Kluyveromyces lactis: one gene and its partners. The protein of the gene in region 2 interacts with the protein of the main gene of each other region in a pairwise test. Links are inferred from orthologs where the notes say so. Each region holds a gene or a part of one and is shown on either strand. Other genes may lie near its edges. The genes, in order: CUP2, FUS1, GIP4, BNR1 and PEA2.

Evidence for each region.
Region 1: the proteins of FUS1 (region 2) and CUP2 interact in binary tests that used the Saccharomyces cerevisiae proteins (3 or more experiments, as listed by UniProt). The link is inferred for Kluyveromyces lactis from reciprocal best matches to the Saccharomyces cerevisiae genes FUS1 and HAA1.
Region 3: the proteins of FUS1 (region 2) and GIP4 interact in a two-hybrid assay, tested with the Saccharomyces cerevisiae proteins (2 studies listed by BioGRID). The link is inferred for Kluyveromyces lactis from reciprocal best matches to the Saccharomyces cerevisiae genes FUS1 and GIP4.
Region 4: the proteins of FUS1 (region 2) and BNR1 interact in binary tests that used the Saccharomyces cerevisiae proteins (3 or more experiments, as listed by UniProt). The link is inferred for Kluyveromyces lactis from reciprocal best matches to the Saccharomyces cerevisiae genes FUS1 and BNR1.
Region 5: the proteins of FUS1 (region 2) and PEA2 interact in binary tests that used the Saccharomyces cerevisiae proteins (3 or more experiments, as listed by UniProt). The link is inferred for Kluyveromyces lactis from reciprocal best matches to the Saccharomyces cerevisiae genes FUS1 and PEA2.

What each region holds. Positions count from the first base shown.
Region 1 is NC_006037.1:266,972-273,349, reverse strand, and holds CUP2 (Cup2p), read right to left. Parts: upstream 3,798-6,378; coding exon 2,094-3,797; downstream 1-2,093. Other genes in the region: DNA-dependent ATPase RAD54, read left to right, coding at 1-1,834; high-affinity iron permease FTR1, read right to left, coding at 5,273-6,378. UniProt on the Saccharomyces cerevisiae protein: Regulates the transcription of a set of genes, many of which encode membrane proteins. Among the genes regulated are YGR138C and YRO2. Does not seem to be dependent on copper.
Region 2 is NC_006039.1:116,359-122,592, reverse strand, and holds FUS1 (Fus1p), read right to left. Parts: upstream 3,644-6,234; coding exon 2,111-3,643; downstream 1-2,110. Other genes in the region: KLLA0_C01584g (uncharacterized protein), read right to left, coding at 1-490; KLLA0_C01562g (nitroreductase family protein), read left to right, coding at 1,312-1,902; KLLA0_C01518g (uncharacterized protein), read right to left, coding at 5,462-5,908. UniProt on the Saccharomyces cerevisiae protein: Required for cell fusion. Negatively regulates Sho1p signaling to ensure efficient cell fusion. Interacts with SHO1.
Region 3 is NC_006042.1:225,725-230,423, forward strand, and holds GIP4 (protein phosphatase regulator GIP4), read right to left. Parts: upstream 2,775-4,699; coding exon 501-2,774; downstream 1-500. Other genes in the region: mRNA splicing protein PRP45, read right to left, coding at 1-317; MRS2 (Mrs2p), read right to left, coding at 3,135-4,463. UniProt on the Saccharomyces cerevisiae protein: GLC7 phosphatase-regulatory protein involved in GLC7 subcellular redistribution and chromosome segregation.
Region 4 is NC_006042.1:1,000,604-1,007,789, reverse strand, and holds BNR1 (formin BNR1), read right to left. Parts: upstream 3,964-7,186; coding exon 112-3,963; downstream 1-111. Other genes in the region: POT1 (acetyl-CoA C-acyltransferase), read left to right, coding at 4,950-6,164; SMU2 (Smu2p), read right to left, coding at 6,265-6,891. UniProt on the Saccharomyces cerevisiae protein: May organize microtubules by mediating spindle positioning and movement in the budding process. Potential target of the RHO family members.
Region 5 is NC_006041.1:888,929-893,401, reverse strand, and holds PEA2 (Pea2p), read right to left. Parts: upstream 1,518-4,473; coding exon 501-1,517; downstream 1-500. Other genes in the region: SPT15 (TATA-binding protein), read left to right, coding at 1-131; phosphoprotein phosphatase PP4 catalytic subunit PPH3, read left to right, coding at 2,319-3,245; AIM25 (Aim25p), read left to right, coding at 3,776-4,473. UniProt on the Saccharomyces cerevisiae protein: Localized to sites of polarized growth and is required for efficient mating and bipolar budding.

The DNA of each region.
Region 1 (6,378 bases), on a different chromosome or scaffold from region 2:
GGAAAAAGCTGATACACAAGCTGATTCTAACATAACAGGTTCGAAATCACCGGTTGAAACTGATGTCTCGTCCCTTAAAGACGTTATTAAAATCAATGAAAATTCTAGAAACAGGGGAGCCTATGGGTGTATTATGGCAGATGAAATGGGATTGGGTAAGACATTACAATGCTTAGCGTTAATGTGGACCATGTTGAAACAAGGTCCGCAAGGTAGGAGATCAATTGATAAATGTATTATTGTGTGTCCATCATCTTTAGTCAACAATTGGGCAAATGAAATTGACAAATGGTTGGGACCAGGTTCTCTTTCTTCATTGGCTATTGACGGTAAAAAGTCCAGTCTAAATAATGGAAATGTGGCGGATTCAGTGAGTCATTGGGCTTCAGCTCAAGGTAGAAATATCGTCAAACCTGTCCTCATCATTTCTTATGACACTTTAAGGCGTAATGTCGAACAGTTAAAGAACTGTGAGGTTGGACTAATGTTAGCAGATGAGGGGCATCGTTTGAAGAATGCAGATTCCTTAACATTCACGGCATTGGATTCCATTAGGTGTCCGAGAAGAGTTATTCTATCGGGAACTCCGATTCAAAATGATTTATCGGAGTATTTTGCATTATTAAATTTCTCAAATCCCGGATTGTTGGGTTCCAGAAATGACTTTAGGAAAAACTTCGAATTACCGATTTTACAGAGTAGAGATTCATTGGCTACAGATGAAGAGGTCACTTTGGGTAAGGATAGGTTGAGACAACTTTCAAACATTGTCTCGAAGTTCATTATCAGGCGTACCAACAATATTTTGGCAAAATATCTACCTTGCAAATACGAGCATGTTATATTCATAAATTTAACACCATTTCAGCAATCTCTATATCAGCATTTCATTGAATCAAGAGCTGTTAAGAAGATCGTTAAAGGGGATAGTAACCAACCGTTGAAGGCAATCGGTTTGTTAAAAAAATTATGTAACCATCCAGACTTATTAGAGCTATCTGAAGACATTCCGGGTTCAGAAGAGTTAATACCCGACGATTATCAATCTTCTGTTGACTCCCGCACTTCAAGAAATAGAAGCGTTATTCAGACAGCTTTTTCCAGTAAGTTTTCGGTCTTGGCAAGATTTTTGTACAAAATTAAAACGGAGTCTAACGACAAGATTGTGTTGATTTCAAACTATACCCAGACGCTAGACTTGATTGAAAAAATGTGTTTTAGTAACCACTATGGCGTATTGAGATTGGATGGTACCATGAACATCAATAAAAGACAAAAGTTAGTGGACCGGTTCAATGATCCGGAGGGACAAGAGTTTATATTTTTGTTAAGTTCCAAGGCCGGTGGTTGCGGTATAAACTTGATTGGTGCCAACAGATTGATTTTATTAGATCCAGATTGGAACCCGGCTGCAGATCAACAAGCTTTGGCTAGAGTTTGGAGAGATGGGCAAAAGAAAGATTGTTTTATCTACAGATTCATTAGTACTGGTACCATTGAAGAGAAGATTTTCCAAAGACAATCGATGAAGATGAGTTTGAGTTCATGTGTTGTGGATGAAAAGGAGGATGTTGAACGATTGTTCAGTTCGGATAATTTGAAGCAATTGTTCAAACTTGATACAAAAACCATATGTGATACCCATGAGACATATAATTGTAAACGCTGTAAGAATGGAAAGCAAATTTTGAAAGCTCCGGTAATGCTATACGGTGACGCGACTTCGTGGAATCATTTGAATCACGATGCATTAGCAAAAACAAACGACCATCTCTTGAAAAATGAATTCAATCACAAAGACATCAGTTTTGCATTTCAATATATATCGCATTGATCTTTCATTTTTTTAAAGTACATTTTAATTTCACTACTATATAGACGCATTAATAAATTCGGTTTCTGGGCGGTTCGGAACAGATAACTCGGTTAATATGAAGAGGCAACTCAAGTTTTCGAGATCTTTGAGCCGATCCTAATTTATATAAATACAGTTTGAATATGGATTTCCATATTAAAGCTAATTTTATTACGAGTATGTTTGAATAGAGTTACATGAACATATGTACTTACCCTAGAATAAGGTAGTTTAAGAATTATAAGTGTGTCATCAAATCATCAATGTCTGCGAATTCAACGGGGAACAGGTCGTTAGGAGAGGGGTTATTACCTTCACTAGTGCCACTGAACAGAGAGTTGTTATCGATGATGTTTTGGTTCACCATATTTGATTGTTTCAGTGCCTGGTTGAAGTCAGTGGTGAATGACGGTTCTACAAAGGATGGCGCTACTCCGACCTTCTCGATGCTGAATACGGATGGATCTCCGTACTGTGTATTAGCACTTAGAACTGTATTGGTGGAATCCGCTGGTGAGTTGAAATGATTACCAGATGCCGGAAGTGCTGTGCTGTTAGTTTCTGCTGGTGAAACCATAGACTTGATTTGTGGCGTAGAAGTGTTGGGTACATTTTTCGGATGTCTCTTCCTTTTATTCTCATTGTCATAACGATGATTTTTGTGTATACTAACGGAACGTTCCCTTCTAGAATTGACGCTCTTCCAACTTATAAATGGATTTGTAGATGAGTTTGAACCGATACTCGGTGGCTTTGATTCCGGAATATCCATAAAGCTAGGAGTTATAGATAGAACTTCGACGCTTCGTACGCTGTCCGTATCAAAGCCATATACATTTTGAGATTGGTCCACTTGAACAGGGTTAAGATATCCGCGTCCATTATTAGAATGATGAAGCATATCCTGGTAGTGATGAGCGTTACCACTATGAAGCATAGAAGACAGAGAATCCGAACTGTTTAATGAACTAATGAAATCATTGTTTGATGATGCCACGGAGTCATGAGAAGATATATTTGACACAAAAGAAGATGAACGGCCAGCGACTGAGAGTGGAACGCGTTGGGTTGATCCACTCTTTGAAATGTTATCTACATTGTTACGCAAATGTTGTTCGCTAAGAGCCTTCCGTTGCTCTTTCAACTGATTATAACTCAAAGATTTCGAAGTATCCGCGAAATACGTCACATTTGGGGCATCTGCAGAGACGTCATTGTAGATAGATACGTGCTCTCCCATGAGAAGTGGATTGATGTGATCGGCTTGGTCCTCTGAAGAAGCAATATTCGTTGGGACGTATTCCGTAAGCGGAATGAAAACTTCACCGACTTTAGTCCTCGTCTTGGGTGTGATAGGTTTCATGGTACTTAGAGGTTCTAATCCGATTGTATTTTTACTATCCGGTCCGTTACCAGGTGGAGACCGATTAGAACTTGACAGCGACGCATTATCCCAGCCAGTGGAAAAGCTTGTATTCATAGAGATCGGAGACGCCAGGAAGTTCGATAAATCCTGATCGACAGAATGTGACGAATCCAGAGAATGTAGAGATTGGTGTGAATATCCGCTATTAGTATGTTTTGATATTTTACCATTGATATCCAGTCCTACAGCGGAATTGCCTTGATGTGATTGTTTTTTCCTTCTTGGCGCACGCTTCTTATGACACGGGCAGTGATCCGGATCATTCTTACAAACACATCCCGATTCTTCTCTTGCCTTCTGTGCGATCCGTTTCTTCTCTTGTCGCCCACAAGTGCATTGGCCCGATGGATTCGCATTCCTGTTCTTCCGTAGTTCTTTACAATGAGCACAAGTCGTTGACGGCCTACCTTTCGGTTTAATCATAGTCAACGGCTGATCTGTATGGTTACATGTAGTCACTCTGTGTCCTCTAATACACCTTTCACAGGCATATTTCACACCGTTGATAAGAACCATTGTGTGCTATTTGAATGCGATACAGAATGTGTCTGTGCTGTCTTCAGTGAATAATAACCACAAAAAAAGCTTCAAAAGTCAGCAGTAAGAAGCCAGCAAAGGGACAATGAAAATGACAATTAGGGAGTGTGAATATTAAGACAAATGAATTAGATTAGGTCACTCCAATATGTGTGTTTTCTTTTTCTTTCCTTAAAGTTGATTAAGCCGTTGTCTGACTAAAAATCCTACCAGAAAGAGAAGAGAAAGAAAAAAAGGAAGATATTCAGCCTTATAATTGGGGGTTGGATACTGAGAACGTGAACAGAATAAGCCAGAGACAGCAGTTTCTCTATCAATCTCCTCAAATACTAGTCAAAAACACTGATATATAGTATCTTTTTTTTATCTCTCAAAATTTGACCTTTAAAAGTTCTGTTGAAATTTTTAAACCTAGTAAGTAATGTCTCTGTAAAATTTCAGTACACATCAAATCAAATACAAGTACAGTGAGTAAAGTTGGGAAGGAGAAGTATTCGTAGCAGATTCTTTCAGAAAATAGCGTCAAATGGTACAACACAAGTAATATGGATACCGAGTTATTCCTGTATACCAGCCGTTAATTCTTAAACCTTATGAGTAACGAAGGCAATTGAGGAATACTTACAGTACTTCTCTTTTCAATTTTTTTTTTCCTATAATTTTTTCCAAAAGAAAAAAAGGTATTAAGACAACAAAGAAGAAGTTCGGTATGTAGTAGCTTGATTATCTTAGGTCTAATTAGGAAAGTGGAAAAAAGCAGTTTTGAAACGCTGAAAGCTATCTATGTTTAATGGTATAGCGGGATGTAGAGCTCAATCAGGGTAGGAAATAAGTCTTTCAGCTCCGATTATTGCAGATCTATATATATATATATATATATATATATATATATGTATTCTGTTTGATAAGAATGTTTGATATGTCCGTATATGTATGTGAACAGCTGTTTGCGGGTAATGATTTTAAAGCCTTCAAGACTCTTCCATTCGTACAGGAATTTCAAGTGTTGTGCAGTGTCTTCTCCGCCAATGTGCACCGGAAATTAGAAAAAGAAATTTCATTTCGACATGCTTCGAGAGGCACCTCGTCAAGCTGCGTTCTTCTGTCTTATTCGGATGGTAAGGGTAGGACGACACATACATCATTATACTCTGTACTAACAGCGTTGGGCAAGGTGCGGAGACGTACACACGCCATTGTAAGAGGAATTGTTACACGATTCAGGAGAGAGGGGAGGTGGTCTAAGCCGGTTTTCGTTCAGTAGTCATCAGGGTTCCCAACTGATAAATATTTGTTGCTTCCATTTCCCAGATGAATATAGAGTTTTACCCAACTGGCAACTATGCAGTTAACTTGCTAATCGATAAACCAAAAGATACTTTACATTATATTTGATTGTTTACAGGTGTACATACTTCTGATAAAAGAACTAGTGAAAATTAGTAGTGACCCACTTATTTCACGAGTTCGACGTTGACTTTGGTAGTGTCACCTTTGTTAACGACGACGTTACCTTCTTCGTCGACGCCCAAATTGTTGACTTGTTTGAACAATTCCTCTTGTTCAGCAGCGGTCAACTCTTCGTTCTGCTTACGTTTTAAATAGTAGCTTGGCTTCAATTGTCTCAGTTTTAGATTCTTACAGAATGGTAAATGGCCATTTCTTTCTTCGTACATCATTAGTCCGATAACAATCATTAAGACCAACCAGTACAAGTTGTAAGCAAGGATGGATGACAAATAACCAGTGTTTTGCCAGCCCAACAACGAGTTGAAGATATCCCAACCGTTGTCCAATTCCGGGTTACAACAGTTAACGTGGTACACGGTTCTTAAGATGTTATAGGACCCGTTACCATCACCGGATTCGGATGCGTCACCACCGGTCTTCTTGTTGAAGTAATAGTTATCGAAGTACCACACACCTCTGGAGAACAACCCGGAAGCAATCAAGTAAAGAACACAAGTAGAAATGACCAAGAAGATTTGTAGAGATGACTTAGAAGTACCGTAGTACAACAAAGTACCTACGATGATACCAGCAATTAACCCAATGACGACAGGCAATGGGTACGCAGTGGCCTTGGAATCCTTGGTGGTAATACCGGCACCAGCAACGAACACGACGGCTTCCAAACCTTCTCTCAAAACAGTGATAAATGGCAACAAAAACATAGAATATCTGGTAGCCCAGTATTTAAGACTCCATTTCTTACGTCTGTCCTTTGGAACTTCAAGCATGGCCTTGGCAATCTTAACTCTCCATTTGGCTTGCATCTTGTTGACTCTTAACATAGCAATACCCATGACAGAAATCATTAAGGTAGCGATGATACAGAAGACACCTTCCCATAAATCTTCAGCAGAACCGAAAATATCATTTTCGTAACGGTAGTAAGCACCAATGAAACCACCACCAATGGCCATACAAATGATGAAACCAGCAACAACACCGATCCAGACATGCATTCTCAACCTTTTATAAGTGGCCATATCATTAGAACCGATGGATTGTTTCAAGAAAGAAAGCAACACGGAAACAATCACCGCTGCTTCTAAAC
Region 2 (6,234 bases):
AAAGACCAGCTTGATCAAATTTGTCACTCAGTGACACTTTCACATCGTTATCGAACAGTAGATATTCAAACGTCTCATCCTCGTCACCGACCATTATTCTTAGCTGAGCATAGAAAGGTACATCTTTTCTCCGGTAAGGTTCATCAAGCTGGATCCAGAGCCCAAATTCCTCTATTGAGCGGGCCCATTGCTCAGGCAATTGAAAAGTATAACTTTCACCTAATGTCAACGCAGAAACACCAGTATTCAGTAACAACGAAGGATTATTCAACCAATCTTGAACTAATTTCCATTTGTCAGCAACCGTTACATTTGGAAACCGTTTAGAGTAGGATTCTAAGTACGAAAAGTACCATATAGGCAAGAAACATTGAATTGGTTCGTTTGTTTTGCCTATTAATACGTTCAACCACTCTATAACGTGAGGTGATGATTTGGCATCTTCAGGAAACGGCAGAATGGCTTGAAGATCTTGCAGTAGCTCGACCATTCTAGAGAGGAGTTGAAGGTTGCAAACACGACGTATGCACGTTCACTAGATAGTTCGAGATACAGGAGACATCTAGTTAGACCCTTTTCTACCATTGAATCATTGATGATACTAGGAGTCATTTTAGGTAAAATAGAAGAAACAATAATCTGATCATGTGACCCATTGATTGGCTTTGTCTTTGTTTCCACCCTCCATCTTGTTATGACATCCGGATGATGATAAGCACCGGTTCGATACACAAAAAGATTTCCTTACACTGTTAGAAAGGCTTCATCTATACCTGAATAATTTATTACTCATATTTGAATCTCGCTATTTACGTAAGTAGATACGATTAATAAAGTTGACATTTCTCTTTCTGGTTCAAGCTTCCTTGAAACTTCTCGGTATTAATTTAATAATGTAAGCGTTTCTGTTAATTTCACCACTTTTCTTCACTTTAGTAAGCGCTATTGTCAGTTTTTACTAAGATGAATAATGCCTAAAAAAAAAAAAATCAAAAAAAAAAAAACCGCTCGAAACGACAGACAACACGAACACTGTGTCTTAATGTTTCTGAGGAAAGTCAGGTCGGTGGTTAGAAGTACCCCAAGGTGCAAGACAATCTGGGATTACGGGGTTGGATAAGCCATTGTAATAGACTGATCTATAGTTACTCCTAGTGTAAATAATTGATGTGACACTGACATATATATATGAGGATGGAAACAATTATCAAGTCTGTCTTGTTTCACGCTAACTTTATTCAAGTGTAGTGTATGGTCTTTTAATATATTGATTCTACGGAGGTCAATCCAATCAACCTAAAACTGTATCTAATGTCTGCTGCTGCCACTAAACAATTCTTGAAAGCTATTGCTGCTCGTCGTACTATCTATGCGTTGAAGCCTGAATTGCCATCTGGTGTATCTATCAATGATGTTCAGGAAGTGGTCCAGGCCATTGTCAAGGACACCCCAACTTCTTTCAACTGCCAAGGTAACAGAGCAATTATTCTGACTGGTGAAACCCACAAGAGTGTATGGGATTCTGTTGTGAATGCCATTGAAGGTGATAACGGTAAGAAAAGACCTGCTTCTGCCAGAGATGAAGCCTTCGGTTCTATTATCTTTTTGACCGATGACAAGACTACTGAAAAGTTGCAAGCTGACTTCCCAGCATGGTCTGCTATCTTCCCATCTTTCGCCGAACATTCCAGTGGTGCTGCTCAAATCTCCACATGGACTGCCATCGAATTGTTGGGTCTGGGTGGTCACTTGCAACATTACAACGGTTACGTTAAGGCTGCTTTGCCAGAAGGTGCTATTCCACAAGAATGGACTGTTCAAGCTCAATTGGTCTTTGGACTACCAGCTGCTGAAGCCGGTGAAAAGACGTACATCGATAACCCTGTCAAAATCTTGAACTAGGTATCTGGCATGTCAATCTCTAACGAATAAGCTGATATAAATTAAAGGAAAAACGTCATATGTGTAGACACATACTATATAATGAAGGAAAATTAAAGATTAACTACAAGTTATTTGAAACTGCCGGAAAATTAGACCTAGAGATTGTTCCGCCAAGAGCCAATCAAACAAATACTATCGTTTACTATTACTTGTGATAGCGATACATTTACATACTCTCTTGAAGACATAACCCGGGCACAATACCACGGTTTTCATTCAAATAAGTGGGTCCATCTAGTGAACTATGGTTTTGGATATTACTTCTTTCCACTAAACACCATCCGTCTGTGTGTCTTGCAAGTACTCGTACAAGTTCACCTCCTCGTATATCTATTTCATCCATCAACACAGCCTGATAGTCCTTGACAACACGGTATAATTTTGCCTGCTCTTGAGCAGTTGATTTTCTCGCAGATCGTAAGTCATGATGGTCACTTCTTGCACTGACATTATCCGAAACATGTTGATCATCGTTGGCCGACGTGAAGTGGGGATTAGGCGGCTTGGGTAGTGGTTTTGTTTTCGATAGTTTATCCAATTTGAGCAGCGTTGGATATGTTGGTTTTAAGTTGGTATCTATTATTTGCGGTTTGATTACGCCTTGTTCCGTTCGTATCTTAGATTCATTGATTGGTATTTCACTTTCCTCTTTAAGTTCTAATGACGGCAGTGATTCAATAGCTTCATATGGAGATCGAGGAACACTAGGAAGCATCGGTGACATTTCAGTGTACGGCTCCTCCCCATTTATAGTGATCTTACTCTTATTTGCTCTTGCAAGTATATTAAGTTGTTTCAAATGAATAGTAGGGGTCTTTGCTGTTTGAATTTTGTCTTGGATTAGAGTAGATTTGGTTAAAAACCATCTTGAAAGTGGCGATTCATAGTTCCATTTCTTGAAGGGTGATGCTAATGGTCTGGGAAACTGTCCTAAATCCATTGTCGAATTTGAGTACGCATTCGTGTCGCTTTTTTGGTTAACATTTTTTCTGTATGGATTGTCCGTAAATGCCAATTTTTCCGGTGTTTGAATGAGTTCAGGATGAGAAATATAAGGTTTGCTAACTTTGTATGTGATCTTAGAGCTTACGCCGCTATCATACTTTTCATCCTGTTTCTTTTCGTTGAAAAGTTCTGCTTTTTTTAAATCATTAAGTTCTTGCATCCCATATAGCTTCCCTAACACCGAATCTGGCTCATGCTGTTGCATATTTTCATTATCAGGATCAACTTTTGAGTGGAATCTTCGATAGTACAAGAACCCGAACACAATTCCCAATCCAACGACAAACAAGGCAATTGGTAATCCTATGGCAAGACCTAAAATGGTACCACTAGTATTTTTTCCATCCGATGTACTGGCTAGACTGTTCAAGGAGATTCCTGATGTCATTCTCGCTGATTGACTACTCTGAACTCCCAATGAGCTACTGCTATGGGATGTAGAACTAGTAGAGGTGGATTCTTGAGAAGTTTCAATCGTAGTGGTGACTTGATTTGTAATAGTTGCAGTTTTAACATTTTTGTTCAGTTGAGTTGCAAACGCTGTCGAGACGGTAGTTAATGCATATGGTAAAGTATTTGATGCTCGATAGTATTGATCAACATAAATTGTATTAATGACAGTAGCTTCATTATGTAGAATAAGTTCGTTCATTTGCGTCTGGATCACCGTTCGTGTTTCTGTTTCTATTTCCATCTTAGTTATTCTTCTATTTTTTCCTCTGGTTTCATGGACGCCGAAAAGTTACGCGTCTGCAATGGTGCTTAAGCACCAAATCCAAGCGTGTAAAGTCAACCAACGAAGAGTCAGAAAATAGCAGAAAAAAAGTGGCTATTACATTCAGTATTTATGTCACTGAATTATCAAAGTTAATTCAATACGTTCATGTTTCATAATCCCAAGGGAGCCGGAACGTTAAAAGTGTATCAATTACCTGCGTTAAAACATACTGTAACCCTTGTTTATGATACCCAATACCTCAATATCGCAAGCAGCTGTGGTTTCATGTGCCCTTGGATTCTATTTTTTCTTTTTCAAGTGTTTCAGAGTACTAACTATTTGGTCCCTGAAATTGTCTTATATCTGAATCTGCAGGTTGTTGACTTTCTGTACTTTTGACGTGAGGCTGATCCAATACAAATCTGAAACACGTCTAACAAACATCGCCTTTCTGGGGGAAGTATGTGATATCCGGGTAACATCTTATATTTGTTCTGGCATGCACTCAGGATTAATTTTCACGTGCTCATTGCATAATAGTAGCAGAAGAAGCAGCTGGCTTCGAACAAAGTTTTATTCATCGAGTACATTTACGAAGGGAAGTGTTAGTGCAAGATATCCATTTCTTTGACATGTGTTTCTAGAAAAGAGTTTTTCGCTTAAAATAGGTTTTTGAATGTCAAACGTGTGATTATTTGTATTTGGCAAACATGATCTGCAGTTTGGCATAGGCTATGAAGGAACAGCAAGGCTGAGAAAGTTACTTTCGCATCTCATTGCTTTTCTTAAAATTCTTCGCGGATTTTGACAGCTTTAAAGATTTCATCGTTTGATCTATCGAACATTTCATGACATGACAGGAAAATGGTCGCTGAGGTAAATTCAACAACTGACCACTAGCTATATTTTCTCAATATTTGTAGTTCCTGCAGTTAAGTTCGATCGAAGTTGATACTAGTGACACTTCTTTCTTCAAAAAGGCTGAAATGTTTATAGTGCCAATTCAACTGAGGTAGATACTAGGTGAAATAGACATTCCTGTGCCAAGCCACAACATCTTCTATGCTGATCAACGACTCATATTTCAAAGTAGTAGATCGCTGATTTATCCGTATTCGTCACCGTAAAAGCGTGATAAACATTTTTCCGGCCAGACAAAAACTGCCTCTTAGTCTTAGCGCTAAAAAAAAAGCTGCTTTCTTAACACCCTTAACATGACCGCCTGACATAGAATTACCAACATTCCGTTGTCGCGTATAGGAAGCATATGCCGAAGCTTCTAAAACCACTCATTAGAAACGAAATATGAGAACACTCCGAGTATACGGGAAAACCAACAATGCATCAGCTGTTTTTTGACCCATTCGTAACCATTTTTGTTTCTCTAATTGCTTTCAATACAACCATTGATATGCCAAGAAGCCCTCAAAACTTAGATATTCTCTTATTCCCGACCGAATTGTTATTTTGAGACTACATGAATGAGGCTAATATCTTATGCTCATAGTAAACTTAACCAACTACCCTTAAGTTGGCCTTACCTTGTAGTTGAGAAGGAGCATCTGGAGAAATAACATGAAAAAAAAACCCTTCTTAACGGGAAAATCTGGTTGGAATCATGAGATCTATGTAGTATAGAATCAGCTGTTTTCGCCAGTCCCTGCCTAGCCCATGAGATATCGTAAGAAATTGATGCGTACCAAGATGGTAACGGGTCCGCACTGGAAAAGTCTCAGTGGAGTTAAAGCTGCTGAGTGATAACAGCACAACGCTCCCGGATCTAACCTGTAAATTCTATATCATGCCAAAGTTTTTTCGAAAAGATTGGGTGTACGGATTATCAGTTAAAGGGAAACGCACAAAATTATTTTCACGTTTTGAGGTACAATCTGAAAAGACCGTTATGCATGTCAGGGGTAAATTCAACGTACGGGAAATATGCAGTAAAGAAAAAGGCACCAGATGCACGAAGGTACCATTTTGCTTCGTGAAATAACGCAAACAGTCGTACGCTTCTGCAGAACTGTTCGTAAGGTATTTTGAGGCATATGGCTTGGGTTGATAACAGATATTGAATAATCGAATAGAAGCAGCTAAAGCTGACCAGTTCTCAGAAGGTTCAAAGTGGGAAGGGAGAAAATGAGAAACAAATGTACTAACGAATTCTCTTCGAACACATAAGATGTCGTAGGAGTATCCTAATATGGGAATTAGTCTGGGAGCAAAACAAAGGCTGGTCATACCTCTGCTATCAGCAATACTATTACAGCGTAAACGTTAGTGACTAAAATCACAGACTGGCTTAACTGCTAATGTCTGCTTCGTAACCTTATACTTTGTTTAGTTTTTTGCAACTCATCTCTATAACAGGTGCCTATGCTATATGCATGTAGTACCTTTCTTGATGAAGAAGCTGTGCGATATTAGATTTCCTTTTTTGCATTCATGCTGAAAATTACTAGCTAGGTACTTTACTTAGCCTCAGCATTGTCAAACTGTGAGAGCAATGCGGCAATTTACGTGCCTTTCTTGGAAACCAGTTATGATCGCCATAAACCCTCGGTCTA
Region 3 (4,699 bases), on a different chromosome or scaffold from region 2:
ACGATGTCCTTGTTCGCAATAGACGATAATTGTAGAGAGCTCTTTTTCGTTAGCAGCGAGTCTAGAAACGCCTTAGTCTTTACATATGTTTGATTAATCTGTGATGTCGATGGGAACGGTGCCTCTAGTGATATATCACGTTGTCTAAGAGGTACAAAGTCAGATATTGAGGCCACTGGTAGATTCTCCGGTCGTAGCTTGTCTAATATTATTGTATCCTTTATGTTTTCCTTAGATTGTCTAGAAAATGCTGAAGACTCGGAGACTTCTGAGTTTTGCGGACTCGGTAGCAATGAGCTGAGTGTCCTGAATGACATGTCAGACCGTTCTAGTGGTGTTATAACAGGTTTGTTCCTATGTTTCAAGCCTTACCTACTTTACTTTATAAATTATGGGAATGTTCAATAGTTAAATATTTTCTCTAAATTTCAAATACATTGTTAAAAGTTGATATTATAATGGAAATAAGTTCACTGCAAATAGAAATTAAAAGATTCTTTCTATTTAAACAGTTTATCCTTGATTTTACCCACTATTTTAGTATCCGCCCCTTGACCTGATGAGTACATGCTGTCAAAACCGAACTTTTTATCAGAACCTTGGTCTCTGGAGATCAAACTTGTGCGAAATGCAAGACCCTCTTGAGTTGTTCTGAATTTTTGAAGTGAGTGCTGTGCAGGTGGAGGTGGATAATGCAACACGGCAGGCTTCTTGTACCATCCGCGTCTTTTAGGCTCAGGGTTTTCATCTTGTGACATAGGCGGAACCCCTATAAATCTCACCTTTTTCACAATACCTTCAACTTCGCTGTCGTTGTTTGAAGACGACTGATTGTCATCGGCAACAGAAACTATGATCTTAGGAGTTTCACTACCTTCTGGAGATAACACTTCCTGAGAGACGATTAGAGTATCATCGTCCAGCTTCAGATCGTGGAATTTCTCATTGATGTCATCTTCGTCTACTTCATTTAGCTTCAATATGTTCACTTTGTTCCTCTGTTTTACGGAATTCTGCCGTGACACAGTTGGAGAAGGTGATTTTGATCTTATAGAATTATTCAGCTTTGTTGGTGTTAGTCTTGGGCCTCTTTTCTCATTTAACGAGAGTAATGCTTTTGAATATGCATTCTGTACAATTCTTTGTGTATTCAGAGAACCTGATTGAAGAGAATTGGATCTCATACCATTCCGAGCAGTGGAAGTATCTTCAAGACTTGATACTGATTGCAATGATGACGATCTGTTTCTTGTTCTGACTGATCTGGTCTTTTTAGCCGATATATTAGACTTCGCATCAGTGAAAGGTATTGGTGATGATGGGGACCTTGATTCTTCTGACCGCGAAACTGAAGATGTCCGGCTCAGTCTTAAAGGCGATAAAATATTTGGAGAAACGTTTAATGAGGAAGAATTTGAAGTTATGGAAGATGAAGATGATGTGTTTTTTTGTGAAAGACTGGAATTCTTTTTTTCCTCCCTTTGTCTTTCTTGTTCCTTTATTTTTTCGTTGTATGCTAGTTCATCTACAGCTAACTTTTCCTCCGCCATCTTTGCCATCTCATCGATGTTCATATCGTCATATTTGCTGGCTTTCATGTTATCTGATATACTTTTCCATTGGGTGCTAAACGAATCAACGAGTTTAGCAGCTTTCCGTAACATCTGCGTAGATTTTAACAACAATCTTTGATATGCTGATGAGATGTTGTTAAACTGAACTTGATAAACAGTATTCTGGTTTCCATATGACTTAAAGGCCTCTATAAGATCTTTTTCAAGTTCCTGTGTGAAGCAAAACGTTTCTAACTCTTCCAATAGCTCAGAATATTCGTGTAGATTCTTTGAATGCAATTTGGTAGTGTTATCATGGAAGTGATGTTTATTTGGAATGTAAATTTGTCTCAATACAGCCCGTATCACATCGATGAGACATTTTGCTCTAAGAGATGCAGCATACATCCTATGCAAAGTAAACTGCCAGTATGGCAATTGGATGAGAACATTATTCGAGAAAACGCCCTTTGTTCGGCTGAATTTCATTATACTAGTGTAATATGATCGTATAGGGGGTATGCACTTATCATTGAGGTTAGACCTGAATTTCTCTAAGATTGGTAAAGCCAAAGCAAAGAAGGCAGAGCTGCTTGTATCGGTTGATCTATTCCTAATATTAACAAGTAAGTCAAGTCCGAATGCTAACTCGTTTGGTGAAAGAAGATCGTTTAGCGCATCTTCGTTGAAGATAGTTGTCCTTCCAGATAGGTCTGTAGGTCTGTTTGAGTTCCTTTCCATGGTCAGTTGCCTAATTCTTGCTTGGTATATCTGAAGTGAATCTTCTGCTACTCGTTGTAACGTGGTAAGTAATTGCGATTGTAATTCTTTGTTGTAGAATTTACTGACGAACAAGACAGAGTCTTCTTCCACCGGTACAAGGTCAACCTCTAGTTTGAGAGAAGTGGTGCTCAATGGCAGATTTGTAGCATTGGCTTTACATGATCTAAATTGTGAGAGTAGTTCGATCCTTTTTTCTATGGCCGCAGATACATTAAATTGAAACCCTGAACCAAGAGCTATCACGATGTTTGACAAGGGGATAAGATTCTCATTACTCTTCATTGACAAATTCCTAAGCAACACTTTACAGACGTGAACCAGTTGCTCGAGTTTCCGTATCGATGATGTATATTGTATGCATTTTATATCTGTAAAATCCAAATACACACTACCCTTTTCCATAGATGAGGAAGCACTAGCTGCCGCCTTCGCCAGCATAATTGGAAAAAAACGTAATTATTGCAGTTCTCGATGGTCCCAAAGTAGATATACCTTCTGATAAGTCAGCGAATGGTGTATATTTGCTTCAATTGCAGCCAAGTCTTGCCGAGTACGATGTCTCTTTTCAGTTGGGCGAATTTTAAGAAACCTTTTTATTTTTTTTTTTGACGTTGCAGAAGATACCAACCAGATGGACAGAGATGTATCAAGAATTCGCAAATAGGTAATCATAAAACTCATGATATTTGTATCACAAGTAAAGTTATTGCTTTAATCTATAAAAATGTTTAAAAAATAGAGATAACTTGCTTGCGATCAGGAAATTATCTATTTACAGGATGTGGCTATACGGATTTTTCACTTCTTGTCGTCATCTACTAACCATTTCCAGATCATGTCTCTCTTTGATCCATCTTTGTACAATACTTCACGTCCAGACCATAACACCCTTGCACTCGTTAACCACCTATCCCAGAATGTAGGTATTTCTTTGTCTAGAGCTAACTTAGCATTTGCCAAATGCTTTTTATTGTTAGCACCGGTATGATTATTCAATAGTGTCAATTTTGTGACTGACCTTAGAGCTCTCATATTTGTGATAGTTACAACTGCTGCAGCTGCTACTGACAGTCCAACTACACTGGCAAATCCCCAGTTTGAATCTTCGATGAAGTTTTTCAAATTCATCCCATAAAATGCCGGAACAAGTGTGGCCACCGTAAAACCTAACGTATAAACAGTAACTTTCAATTCGAATAGCAACAATGAGTTCCGGTTGGCATCTAGAATAATATTGACAATTTCCTCGGTAGATTTGATATCTTGAATGAGAGATTCGGATTGTTGCACATATTCGTCACACTGTTTGTAATATGTCTCTAAGAGCATTTCAAGGTCCGAATGGTCGTCAGCATCTGGATGCTTCTTCTCGCTGAGGTACATTCCGGCCAAATCCTCATCTGACTCTAGAAGTTCGTCTAAAAGGTCACGTAGTAAGACACTCTTCTGGGCAAAAGCAGTCAAAGTTTTGGATTTGATCAAAAGATCTCTAAGCTTGTCTCGGTCAATCTGATTCTCCAAATCGTTCAATATCATCCCACAAACAGAATGATGATACTTGTATTCCGTTTCCAAACAGGTCATCACGTTTATGAGTATTGATTCGAGGGCTCTATGTTCATAATTTTCCTGGTATGAGACAGATTTCCCTTGGTAATTGATATTCCTTTGAGATAGTTTTGATTCCAAGTCATACATTAACACACCAAGTTTTATGGCGGCGTCAGGATTTGTAGTATCAAACACGAAAACTTTATCTTTCTGTATCATTGCTTTTATATGTAACACATTCACCAAAATGCACTTAGGTTTGATGACAAACGAAGGTATTACATCTATTGTACTCGAGTCAATCTTCCTCAAATCTCTTGGATATAACCCATATTTCTGTAAGAACTCCCATTTCGGGAATTTATGAGATACAGCAGTCACGTCACCTTTCTCGTTGAAAATGGTACATGATACGTAAGATTCATGAGGCGTCACAGGTTTCACCAAGAAAGGATGCTGTGTTGAAGCGATTGGTTTGATGAGTTTTGTCGTCGAGTTCCATCGAAGTTGTGATCGGACGGCTTTAGAAGAGTGTCGAAGTTGGATTTGAAGCCCTTTTCCAAAACGGAAATACATAAGAGATAGTTATGTCAGCTTGATATTCTATGCTAAAGCTCCCAGTTGAACCTCAGTTTTCAAGCGGTATTCTTAGATCTATGCTGAACTTTTTTGTTTCAACAGATACTTGTGTGCAATGAAAGTGTTTGCACAATTTTGTCAATATATAGAAATTAGCGAACGTACATTGCAAATAGAAATCAAAGGGCCACAAGTGAACTGCAACACGGAAAGACAGCCATATATCCAATATA
Region 4 (7,186 bases), on a different chromosome or scaffold from region 2:
TATATATATATATATATATATATACGTTTAAACTGTTCATATGTATTGTACTTGGGTTTCCTGGATCGGGAAAAGTTTGTATGTGACTGAGGGCTAGAGGAGAGAGGTTGTTCACAGGTTTTGAATGCCGCTCTTAAGTGTCATGGCTCGTGATAATAGATTTTGATCTCTGTTGGTTCTTGGCGTAGAACGTTTTTCTGGATGAGATGATGTTCCGGGAACGGATGAACCAGGGATTGTCTGTTGAGGGTCAACGCTACGCAGTTTTTTGATCAGTATATCTATCGTATCTGCAGCTTCGTCATCGGCAGATTTTTCAACTTGGGTTTCTGTCGAAGCCTTCTGTAATAACTGTTGTCTTTGTTCATGTACGCGATTCATTGCTTCTCGTTCCTTGTTCTCTTGTGATATTTTATTGAAAAGCGTTAGGAATTCAGAGAAGTTTCTGAAGAACGTGTTTTTGGCTTCGGAATTTGTTGGATCCTCACCGCAGTACTTCATAGTGCTGTTGAAATCATTCATAGTCAGTTTACATTGATTATGTAACAGTTCTGCTTTTCTGACGGCACTGGGAAGCTTGGCGCTGATTTTCTTTCTAAATTTGTCATCTGGATGGTGTTTCTCAGTATGCGAGAGTTTTCCACGTTCGAATGACTCCTTCATTCTCATTATTTTTTCGTAATATTCGTGTATCTCACTTTCTATCGATTCAATGTTAATCTTCCCCAGGTCAGATAACCTATTCAAATCTCTTGTAAAATCGTATATGTCGGGATATTTTTCTCTGATGATTCTTTCTATCACATGCAAAAAGGATAAATTCTTATCACTGTTTGTCTTTACCATGGAGAGTTTGTTCAATGAGGAAAGTTTGATACCCTGCGTTTTCTTGTTGTTCATAAAGTTTCCGATCTCTACGACAATGTAGAAAAATTGTTTGAGTCTATTCGAGTTTTTGATCATTGAGGTCCCATCATCGATCTTCTGTAATTGGTACAAGATGTCATAATAGTCCTTTTCATATGTCAGAGCGATCAAGAGAGAGGAGCTTCTGATTTTCCAGTAATATCTCATGTTGTAAAACATTTCGAGGTATATTCTATCAGCTCTTTCCAATTTACTGACGTCTTCCTTCGGAGCCTTACCGGTTTTCCAATCTGACGCATAGGGTTCGAAAGATCTAATTATACTTTGGGGGATAGTTTCGAAGTCATCCTTGTTAAAGAACTCAAGAACGCTATGATTCTTGATTATATCATCGTCACACCTTAGTACTTTTATCAAAAGGTCTTCAACAGAATATGAAGAAAACATATGTAGGTTGATTCCAAATTGTTGAGCCAGATCCCTTGACAAAAGAGAAACTTTTTCGTTCTTCTTACTAGCTGTAACGTTGGATTTCTTCTTCATTCGAACTGCCTTCTGTTCAAACAAGTTCACAATCTCATTAAAGACACCCTTTTCATTTAAGTCCTCCTTTAAGTCACTCCTAGTTGTTGGTTCATTCCAAAGTGTGTCACTAATATCCTCTATCTTGTCCCAATGAATCTGCTTCAACGGTTTTACCTCTGGTTTAGGCTTAGACACGAATGTCACATTGTTAGCTAGAGGTAATGGTGGAGGAGGAGGAGGAGGCGGTGGAGGAGGAGGAATGCCGTCTGTTGGTTTTCCTGGGAGGGTTTCGTTTGGGAATGCAACTGATAAAGATGTATCTTCTACTGTGGATTCCTTGTTCAGGGATGACAGAGTTGATGGTAATGGTGGAGGCGGAGGTGGAGGCGGAGGTGGAGGCGCGACATTTGACGAAGCACAGGAAGCAGAACTAGTTACTAGGGCCGGTCCATTGGTCATTGGTGAGGTGAAGGCTTCTATACTTTTCAGTTGAGGCGGTAAAGGTGGTGGTGGAGGCGGCGGAGCCGCTGGTGCTGCAATAGAAGCAGGAATCACAAATGCTGTTTGGGCTGATGGAACTTCTGTGGTCGTTGCTGATACTACATCATTACTGGAAGATAGTTTTGGGAGTGCTGATACCTGATGGAATATGTCGTTCTTGCGTGGATATATCGGAGTCACTGGAAGGTCATCGTCAGAATTGTTATTCAAGATGTTATAAGGGGTAGAGTGCGGATATTTTGACTGAGGTTTTTCATTTGCAACAGTGGATAGCGATGCTATACGTTTACTTTTTGATAAGGAAGTTGATCGTTGAGTACCAATAAGCGGTTTATGTTCTTTTAAAGTCTCAAACAGTGACACAGAACGTTTTGGTGTATATTCTGCTACATCTCTATGGGCGATAGTGAGATCCAACTGTTTCTTTTCTTTCTTTAGCTGATTTTCTACAACTTCCAATCTGTCTTGCAATTCTTCTATTCTTATTTCCCTTGATTTCAAAAGTTCTTCTTTATTTTCTAATTTCTGCAGTAGATCCCCTTTGGAAACCTGTTTGTCTTGTAGCAATGTATCCAATTGAAGTTGTATTCCATCAAATTCTTTCTTCTTTTCATCCAGTTCCATCATTGCTCTTTTGGCAATTTGATGGGATTGTAAGTTATCCATTATATGATCTAGTGAGGTCATGAAAACTTGTTCCGTGTTGGTTTCATCAAAGCTACCATCCAAGGTATGTTCGCATAGATAGGTTAGAATAGAATTGAAAACATAGAACAGTTTTATTGAACCTTCCGTTGTTCTTTCATTTACTAGCTCCAAGATCGTTTCTATAATATTGCAAATAGGCGTTTCTAACGGCGTATCTTTAGTATATTCGATTAAACTCTTGATTTGAGGACCATAAGATATTTCACTCAGAAACTCATTTTTGAACTGTTTGTCTTGCACCTTCAATTCAAGTTCGATATACAGGTCTATGTCCTGATTCAAAGCTGATGAGTCTAAATCCTTCATTAGCCGGAAAACCCGGTGTATTCCAGCTCTCTTCCATCTTTTGAAACACGCCAGTTTTAGATCATTGGAAGGCAGAAGTTGTTGAATGGATTGAACCAGTAACAATGTAGATATAGAGTAATCTACGAGCAATTCTTTTGGTTTTGGAAGAATTAAAGAGTTGTTAAACGCATAATCCTCCGGGTTTCGAAGAGTCATTTCTACTGCCTGGATCCAACTTTCGTAGCACAAATCTAACGATTCCAACAAAGAATCTGACCATTCAGTGGAATATGTCAGAAGGATCACAATTTGGGTAGATAAAAGACGAACTCTAAGGTCAGTTGTGAGCGTTCCTAAAAGGCAGAAGACGTAAGTTATCCAATCATTATTCTGGAATATCACAGATCTTGCTGAAGTATCGTTAAGCAATGCTTTATAACAGCATAAGTACACGTACTGGGATTTTTTATCCAATAAATCAATGAACCCATTCAAAATCGAAACTCCGTTTGCATTCACAAACAGCGAAATAAAATCAGCATGTCGAAGTAAACGTTCCAATTGATAAAGTGTTTGAGTAACCGAGAATCTCTTATTCAAATTGCTCAAAATCATATGTAAAGTATTCAATTTTGAATCGTCTTGCATCGTTATATCACCATGTAGTTTCTTTTCCTTCTGAATCAATTCCCATTTACGGGTATACGACAAGCTTTTCAAATTTTGCTTAGCAGTACCTAGAAACGCATGTCCATTCAATAACTCTTCAAACTTGGCATCAATTTCTTGTTCTGACGGTAGCTGAGTGTCTGCTAAACACATTTTATCCGTTTTAGAAACATGTCGCGTAGAATCAACGTTCGGAGTTGAAAAGTTGTGTGATTTCATGTATCGCAGGGTCTGGGAGCGAGGTTTGAGCCCTGTTCCTACTAGATTCAGCCCTTGTATTACCAGATCATCGTTGGAATCATTGCTAGAAAACCTGGTCTTGGCATTTGCAGTCGGAGCATTAATGGATCCAGATCGAAGCGGAAACAAAATACTAATGGATTTTTCATTCTTATCAACAGTCATTGGTCGGTCAAAGTTTGTTGATTTTCAGTTGCAGAATTATAGCCAGAAAAGTGATTTGATACTCATCAATACAAGGAAAACGCGATCATTCAATAATGATCTGGGAGATAGCGAAATAATTTCACTAGATAAACGCTTGTACAAAAAACAATTTGTCAAAGAAAACGATTAATTCTAATGATTAGCAAAGCTGATTGTAGAACAGTTTTAGACTCTCTTCAAGTGTACGTATTTATGGATTTCCTTTGTGTTACAAAACATGTGTACTAAATTTCATACGCTTTTAGTGCTTCATTTTGTTACGTTCCTTAATAGATGGATCAAAAATTAAAAAACGTAAACAAAAACAGGATCAAAAGCTCAGAAACGCACTTTGGAAAGGAAGAAGAGACCAGAAGGAAACAGTACGCGACACGTGAAACAATCTATAGATACTAGTCACGTGAGTTGGATCTTCTTTGCTACCCGGGGTAAGTTTTTTCAACTTGGGGGTTACCCCGCATGCGACGTTGGTCTTTCATTTTTAGGGTATTTCATAACGAAAACCGGAATTAGTGTGACAATGCCGATCTCCAATTCTACGACATAGCCTTGAGCAAAGGCAAATTTGAGACTGTAGTTAGATTAAGTCAGGATCATTGTTAATGACATCGTGGAGCTCCGTAAAGTTTCTGCTTTTCAGTGTTGATGATTAACTGCGAGCTTAATGGCCGTGAAGAAGGGATGTATGCGATCATTAAATCCTCTTTAACATACTCCAAAACGACGGCTGGTTGGTTCTGCTCATTGTTCGTTATTCCCCATATTTATTTTAGCGAGTGATCCCTTTGACAAATAATTTTTTGTATAAATTACGTACATAAATGTGTCATGCTGACATTATTCCTTTATCACTGACTTTTATCAGATGAATTGATTGACAAGTGAACATCATAGGGCAAGATATAAGTATACTACAGGCGAGTACAGTCAATCAGAAATATAATATGGCTAGCAGACTTCAACAATTAGAGAAACATTTGACAGGACGCAGTTCTGAAAAGGATATAAAGAGTAAGAATCCGGACGATGTGGTTGTTGTAGCTGCGTATCGTTCAGCTATTGGTAAAGGGTTCAAAGGAGGATTCAAAGATGTTAACACGGATTATTTACTTACACAGTTTCTGAAGGAATTTTTTGAGAAAGTTGACATTGATAAGAGTGTCATTGAAGAAATTGCGTGTGGTAATGTGTTGAATCCCGGTGCAGGTGCGACAGAACATAGAGCTGCGATGTTAGCTGCTGGTTTGCCATATCAAACTCCGTTAGTGGCTATTAACAGACAGTGTTCCTCAGGGTTAACTGCCGTTAACGACGTTGCAAATAAGATCATTTCTGGGCAGATCAATGTAGGGTTGGCTATCGGGGTGGAATCTATGTCTAAGAACTATGGTCCGAAGGCTCTTGGGTCTATATCAAATGAGTTGAAATCGAACACGGCTGCTGCTAAGTGTATGATACCAATGGGATTTACTAATGAAAACGTTGCTAAGAAGTTCCAAATTTCAAGAGAAGACCAGGACAAATTTGCCCTGGAGTCATTCTATAAAGCGGAAAGGGCTGTCTCACAGGGATTGTTTAAAGATGAAATCATCCCTATTGAACTACCAGACGGATCTATAATTGCGCAGGACGAAGGTCCTAGAAAGGGCGTCACTTTCGAATCGTTACAAAAGATTAAACCTGCATTTGTGAAGGAAACAGGTGTGACAACTGCCGGTAACGCTTCTCAGATATCAGATGGTGTTGCTGGTGTGTTGCTAATGAGAAGATCCATGGCCATGAAATTGGGTTTGGAAATCGTTGGTAAGTACGTTGCGTTCCAGGCAGTAGGTGTTCCACCTGAGATCATGGGTGTTGGCCCAGCATATGCGATTCCAAGAGTCCTCAAAGACTGTGGTTTAAATGTCAACGATGTTGATGTTTACGAGATTAATGAGGCCTTTGCAGGGCAGGCCATTTTCTGTGTCAACCATCTAAAAATCGACAAGAAGAAATTGAACCCAAGGGGAGGCGCGATTGCCTTAGGTCATCCTTTGGGCTGCACTGGTGCCAGACAAGTCGCTACCATATTAAGGGAATTAGACGCTGGTCAAATTGGTGTTGTTAGCATGTGTATCGGTACTGGTATGGGAGCTGCTGCAGTCTTCGTCAAGGAGTGAGTGAATATTAACGTGTGTATAATGTAGTTTCCCTCTTCTGTAATGACCATTTCGATGAATATGATGAGTAACTCATATTATTCGCTACTGTGTTTTTTTTTCAATCAGAGAGTTTTGACATCAGATTCTTCTGTACCGTGTCCCTATTTATATACTCCGGAGACTGCAAAGAATTCCAGTTGGTAACCAAATAGTTTAATTGTATAACTAGCGGCTGTTTATCTTTGAGTAAAGCTTTTGATTTATAATTGAAATTGTTTACAATTCGTGATAACGGGTCATCTGAAGAACAGTCTTTCGGTTTACTTAGCTTTATGGCGGATTGAGGATAATCGACCGGAATGTTGAAAACACATTTCACTTTCTTTTGATTCTGATCTTGATCAGTGGTAATAAACGTTAGCGAGTAGGTCGTGACATATTGTCCTTTCCTTAACATTACAATATCTGACCCAGCCAAATGGCACAATTGGTCAATTTCGGCTTTTCTTTGCAACTTCAAGGCATTTCTCAATTTGAATTTTTTCTCTGCATTTTCATTATGGGATGATTTGGCGGTAATTTCAAGACTGGTTGCCTTCTCTGCAGGTACTGATTTTTCTGCCTTTGACCGTCTCCCTCTCTTCCTCCTATAACTATGTCCAGCATTTTTTCTCTTGTCAGCTTCACTCTCTTTCGTATGTTTAATTACGCCATTCTCAACTTTTCCTGCAGCTTTCGCAGACATGATGGTAACCCGATTGCTTGGCCTGATATTTAGAATCTCTCAAAATAATATCTACCGAGCAGAGTACGCTGAAACGGTTGAGATACCAATGGTTATATAGCTTAAGTTCTTTTTCATAGCTCCCTCATTCTCTATAAACTGATCTCATCTCATATTTCATTAACTTACCATGTCTACTGCCTAAATGCATAAAGTTTCAGTTTTTTTTCACAAAATTGGTACCTGATTGTTGTAGAAAAAACGTGACCAGAGTTGCGACACTGCCTCAATGAATACCGACTCATTCCTGAAGGCA
Region 5 (4,473 bases), on a different chromosome or scaffold from region 2:
TGAAACCTAAGATTGTGTTACTAATTTTCGTTTCCGGCAAGATTGTCTTAACTGGTGCCAAACAAAGAGAAGAAATCTATCAAGCGTTTGAAGCTATCTACCCTGTGTTGAGTGAATTCAGGAAGCTATGATGTTTTATTGGATGGTACTATAAAAATTCATTTTTTTATTTTATTAAACAATGCACTAATTCGATTCTCGGAGGTTTTGTCTCGTCTTCTGCAAGAAAACCCTTTGTTCCTTCTATCTTTCCTTCCTTATTGTCTTTTCATATCCATTCTGCTATAATAGAAGTCTTTATTATTGGCACCTTACTCTATGTATCATATAGTTCATACACAAATTTAACGACTAATAGCCATCGGTAAATGGTTTCCAGCTTGAGTTTGAAATGGATGAGGAATTCTGTCTTAGATAATGTTACAAAGTTAATTACATTTCAACAATATATTGAAGTTTAATGCTAGTATTTTTGGATCGTTAAGGGCAACATAAAACGATTAGCGGTATCCTTTATTTTCCAACTTGTTCTCCAACTGTTGTCTCAACAGGCGTTCTTGTTCTAGTTCTTTTTCGTATCTTAACTGAGTATCAGCTAAGATTCGTTTAAATTCTTGCTTCATCATTGAGAAAGATTGATGGTTAGAAGCAGATGTTGAGGATTTGATGTCACTGGATTCGGAAATTGCTTGTGAGAAGGATCTATCGATATCCATTGGAATTGATTGCATCTGTGAAGTGACTTTCGATTTCTCCTCGCGCTCCTTCAACTTACTATGATAGTGTAAGAGCTCTTCAGAAAGCTCTTTGTTAGTCTTGTTCAGAGTTTCTATAGTCGCCTGGTATTCATCTCTATCATTTTCATATTTCGATTTCAAGAACTTGTATGCAAGTTGTAAATCCGTGATAGCCGTTTGTAGGTCCTGTTGTTTTGAGATATCGTTAAGTTCCAATTCTGAGGTAGAAAGGGGCGCGTGTTGCAAAGAACTGCTTGAATTCTGTGGGTATGCATCCAACAGGATGTCGATGTTTTTCTTACAAAATGAGATTGGATCATGTACACCCTCCTCGTTGGAAGAATTGTCTATTGATGCCAAATTGATACCTTTAGAAATGGAGCTAGAGATCAGGTAGGAGGTGATCTGTTCCACTTTCCCCTCATCCTCATCAGTGCTTTTATTGGCTAAAGATTTATCATTCTCTAGTACCAATTGGACTAATTCTTTCAACGTGTCAACGTCTACCGAGCCAAGCTTTTGTAAGAAAGTAGTTCCCTTAGTACTTAGAGAACCGTTAGCAGATTCATTAATCAAGTACAATGCAAATTCCAATTTCAATTGGGAATCCAAATCCATTGGAAGCTCATCCCACTCCGAATTTTGTCTATTGGATATCAGGGAATTCGTACTCGTAGTTTGCAAATATTCATTCAACTGTTCATTGGGGTACTTCCCATGCAATTTCTCTACAAAAGAGGTATTGTACTCGTACCATTGGTCCAGGTTATTACGAAGCATTCTATCAAGGGGCTAGCTGCGATCAGTATCTAGCTTGGTTTGGTAGCAACTTACATTTTAACATTCCGTTCATCTATCCAGACGCGTTGATTCCGATCAATGCCTTTCTCAATTACCACGCACGGGACATACATGCAGTTTCCGGGTAATACAAGCACATTATCAACCACGTGATATTTGACATCACCACGCACGAATACCGCCATTCCGATGTCTGGGTGTCATCTTCCGAAGGCTTACATAAGCACACCTCATTACCCGCATGTCACGTTAAATTATCGTTTTTGTGGCCGAAACACAAAAAAGGAAGCAAACTGATAAAAAGAAACGTGAAAAAAGAGTACAGGCAAAAAAAAAGAAACAATGGAAGGAGAAGAAGAAGAAGAAGCAAGATTCTGAACAATTCCCATATACAACACAGGCAAGCATTCCACACTACGCTATATACTGTAGACATACCGGAAAGCGCAGACCGACAAGTTGACTTTTCAGGCTAACCGAAAAATGTAATTGTTGTTACCTCTTTTGATACTTGATACTTTTATTTCTCTTGATACTTGCATTTTGTCTATCTCATCGAATTTTGGAAAATAAGAAAGTAAAGAAGCTTTTAAGCCTATATTGTTAATGATGACTATTCAGTTTACCTTTGTTAGATTAGTTTAAGGTAGGTTTTTGTTGGATTTGATCCAAACTCATCACTATAGAATAATATCGTCAGTTCTTGAACAGGGAATCACTTTTTTTTATCTTTTATACTTCCAGTTGGTTTTAACTTTAACGTCGTCTGAGCATCTGTCAATGATGAAACTCGATGAGATTATAGAGACTCTAAGGCAGGGGAAACATGTTGACGAGGATTCGATATACTCGCTGTGTGTCATGGCTCAAGAACTTCTTATGAATGAGTCTAACGTGACACATGTGGATACGCCAGTCACAATTTGTGGAGATATTCATGGCCAATTGCATGATTTGTTGACTCTCTTTGCTAAGAGTGGAGGCATTGAAAAGAATAGATACATCTTTTTGGGAGATTTCGTGGATAGAGGGTTCTATTCGTTAGAGAGTTTCCTTCTTTTGGTATGTTATAAATTAAGGTATCCAGATAGAATTGTGTTGATACGAGGAAATCATGAAACAAGACAGATTACGAAGGTTTATGGGTTTTACGACGAAGTGGTAAGGAAATATGGTAACAGTAACGTATGGAGATACTGTTGCGAAGTATTCGACTATTTGCCCTTGGGTGCCATTGTAAACAACAAGGTTTTCTGTGTTCATGGTGGATTATCGCCGGACGTTTTATCAATCAACGAAATACGAACCATCGATAGGAAAAAGGAGGTACCGCATGAAGGTGCTATGTGTGATTTATTGTGGTCGGATCCAGAGGATGTGGATACTTGGTCTCTTTCCCCGCGTGGTGCAGGTTTCCTATTTGGCCAAAACGAAGTAGATAAATTTTTACACACAAATAGTGTCGAATTAATCGCTAGAGCTCATCAATTGGTCATGGAAGGTTATAAAGAGATGTTCGATGGGGGATTAGTCACGGTATGGTCAGCACCAAACTACTGTTATCGTTGTGGGAATGTGGCTGCTGTGCTGCGCATCGATGACGATATGACGAAGGATTACACCATTTTTGAAGCTGTTCAGGCGAGGGATAGTGGAGGTAATGTCATTCTCCCTACGAAAAAACCTCAAATGGACTACTTCTTGTAACTTATTACCATTATTATTTGCATTTTTCTCTCTCTCTTCTCGATTTGCTGACCGATTCCCGTGTTATTGGTTCAGTCTTCTTTTCTTTCAGCATTATTTAACAGCATGGTATATCACCCTGATCCTCATTATCAACCGACCATCCTCCCAGCATAGCTCAACCTACAGTTGTTGCTTTGTATTAATATTACCTCTCTTCTTAATCTCATTCAACACAGTGATATACCACATTTCAATAAAAGTATCCCAATAGGTATGTAACAGTAAACTATTTCAATAATTGTACGATTGAATTATATGATTCATTTGATAGCATACATATTATACTGTAATATGGAATTTCTGGTTGTATTCCATTCGAGCAGAACATTTATGACGATACTTTTACCTTCCCTTCAATTTTGGATTTAACGGTAATATTTTGATATTTGATCTTCAATTAAGTATCTCAACCTTAAACGGAGTCTTACAAAAAGTCAAATAGACGTTTAGATGCAAGGGAACAGCTGACCGGGCAATATTCATACACCATGTGGAGATATAATCTAGCACTTACCAGACGAATTTTCAGTTCGCAGCCTGCTGCTCTAGTACGTCAGTATTCTGCTTTCAGAAGGCTTCCTAGAGTGGCAACTCCGGTAAAGGATGTTTCTCGTTTGGGCTTCAATGGCGTGCCAAATATGAACAATGTGACCATCCAGCAGTATGATCCCATTGCAACTACCATTTTAAATGAACCTACCATCATTATTGAGAGACAAATCGAAATGATGAACGTTGTGCTTGGTTTTGAACAGGCTAATAAGTATGCCATCATGGATGTCATGGGGAACAGAATTGGGTACATGCAAGAAAGAGATTTCGGATTCTTTAAAGCTATAACAAGACAAATATACAGACTACATCGTCCGTTCACCGTTGATGTCTTTGACAATTACGGCAACGTTTTAATGACTATTGAAAGACCCTTTTCCTTTATCAATTCACATATTAAGGCTATATTACCCGATGAAAACAGAACCCTTGTTGGTGAATCAGTGCAAAATTGGCATCTGTGGCGTCGTAGATATGAATTGTTTCAAAGAGAATGCGAAAACCCTTCTGAGTTTACTCAGTTTGGTAATATCGATGCACCATTTCTAAGTTTCGAATTCCCAGTTATGGACGAGAACAACAAGATTATTGCTGGTTGTGATAGAAATTGGGTGGGGATAGGAAGAGAACTATT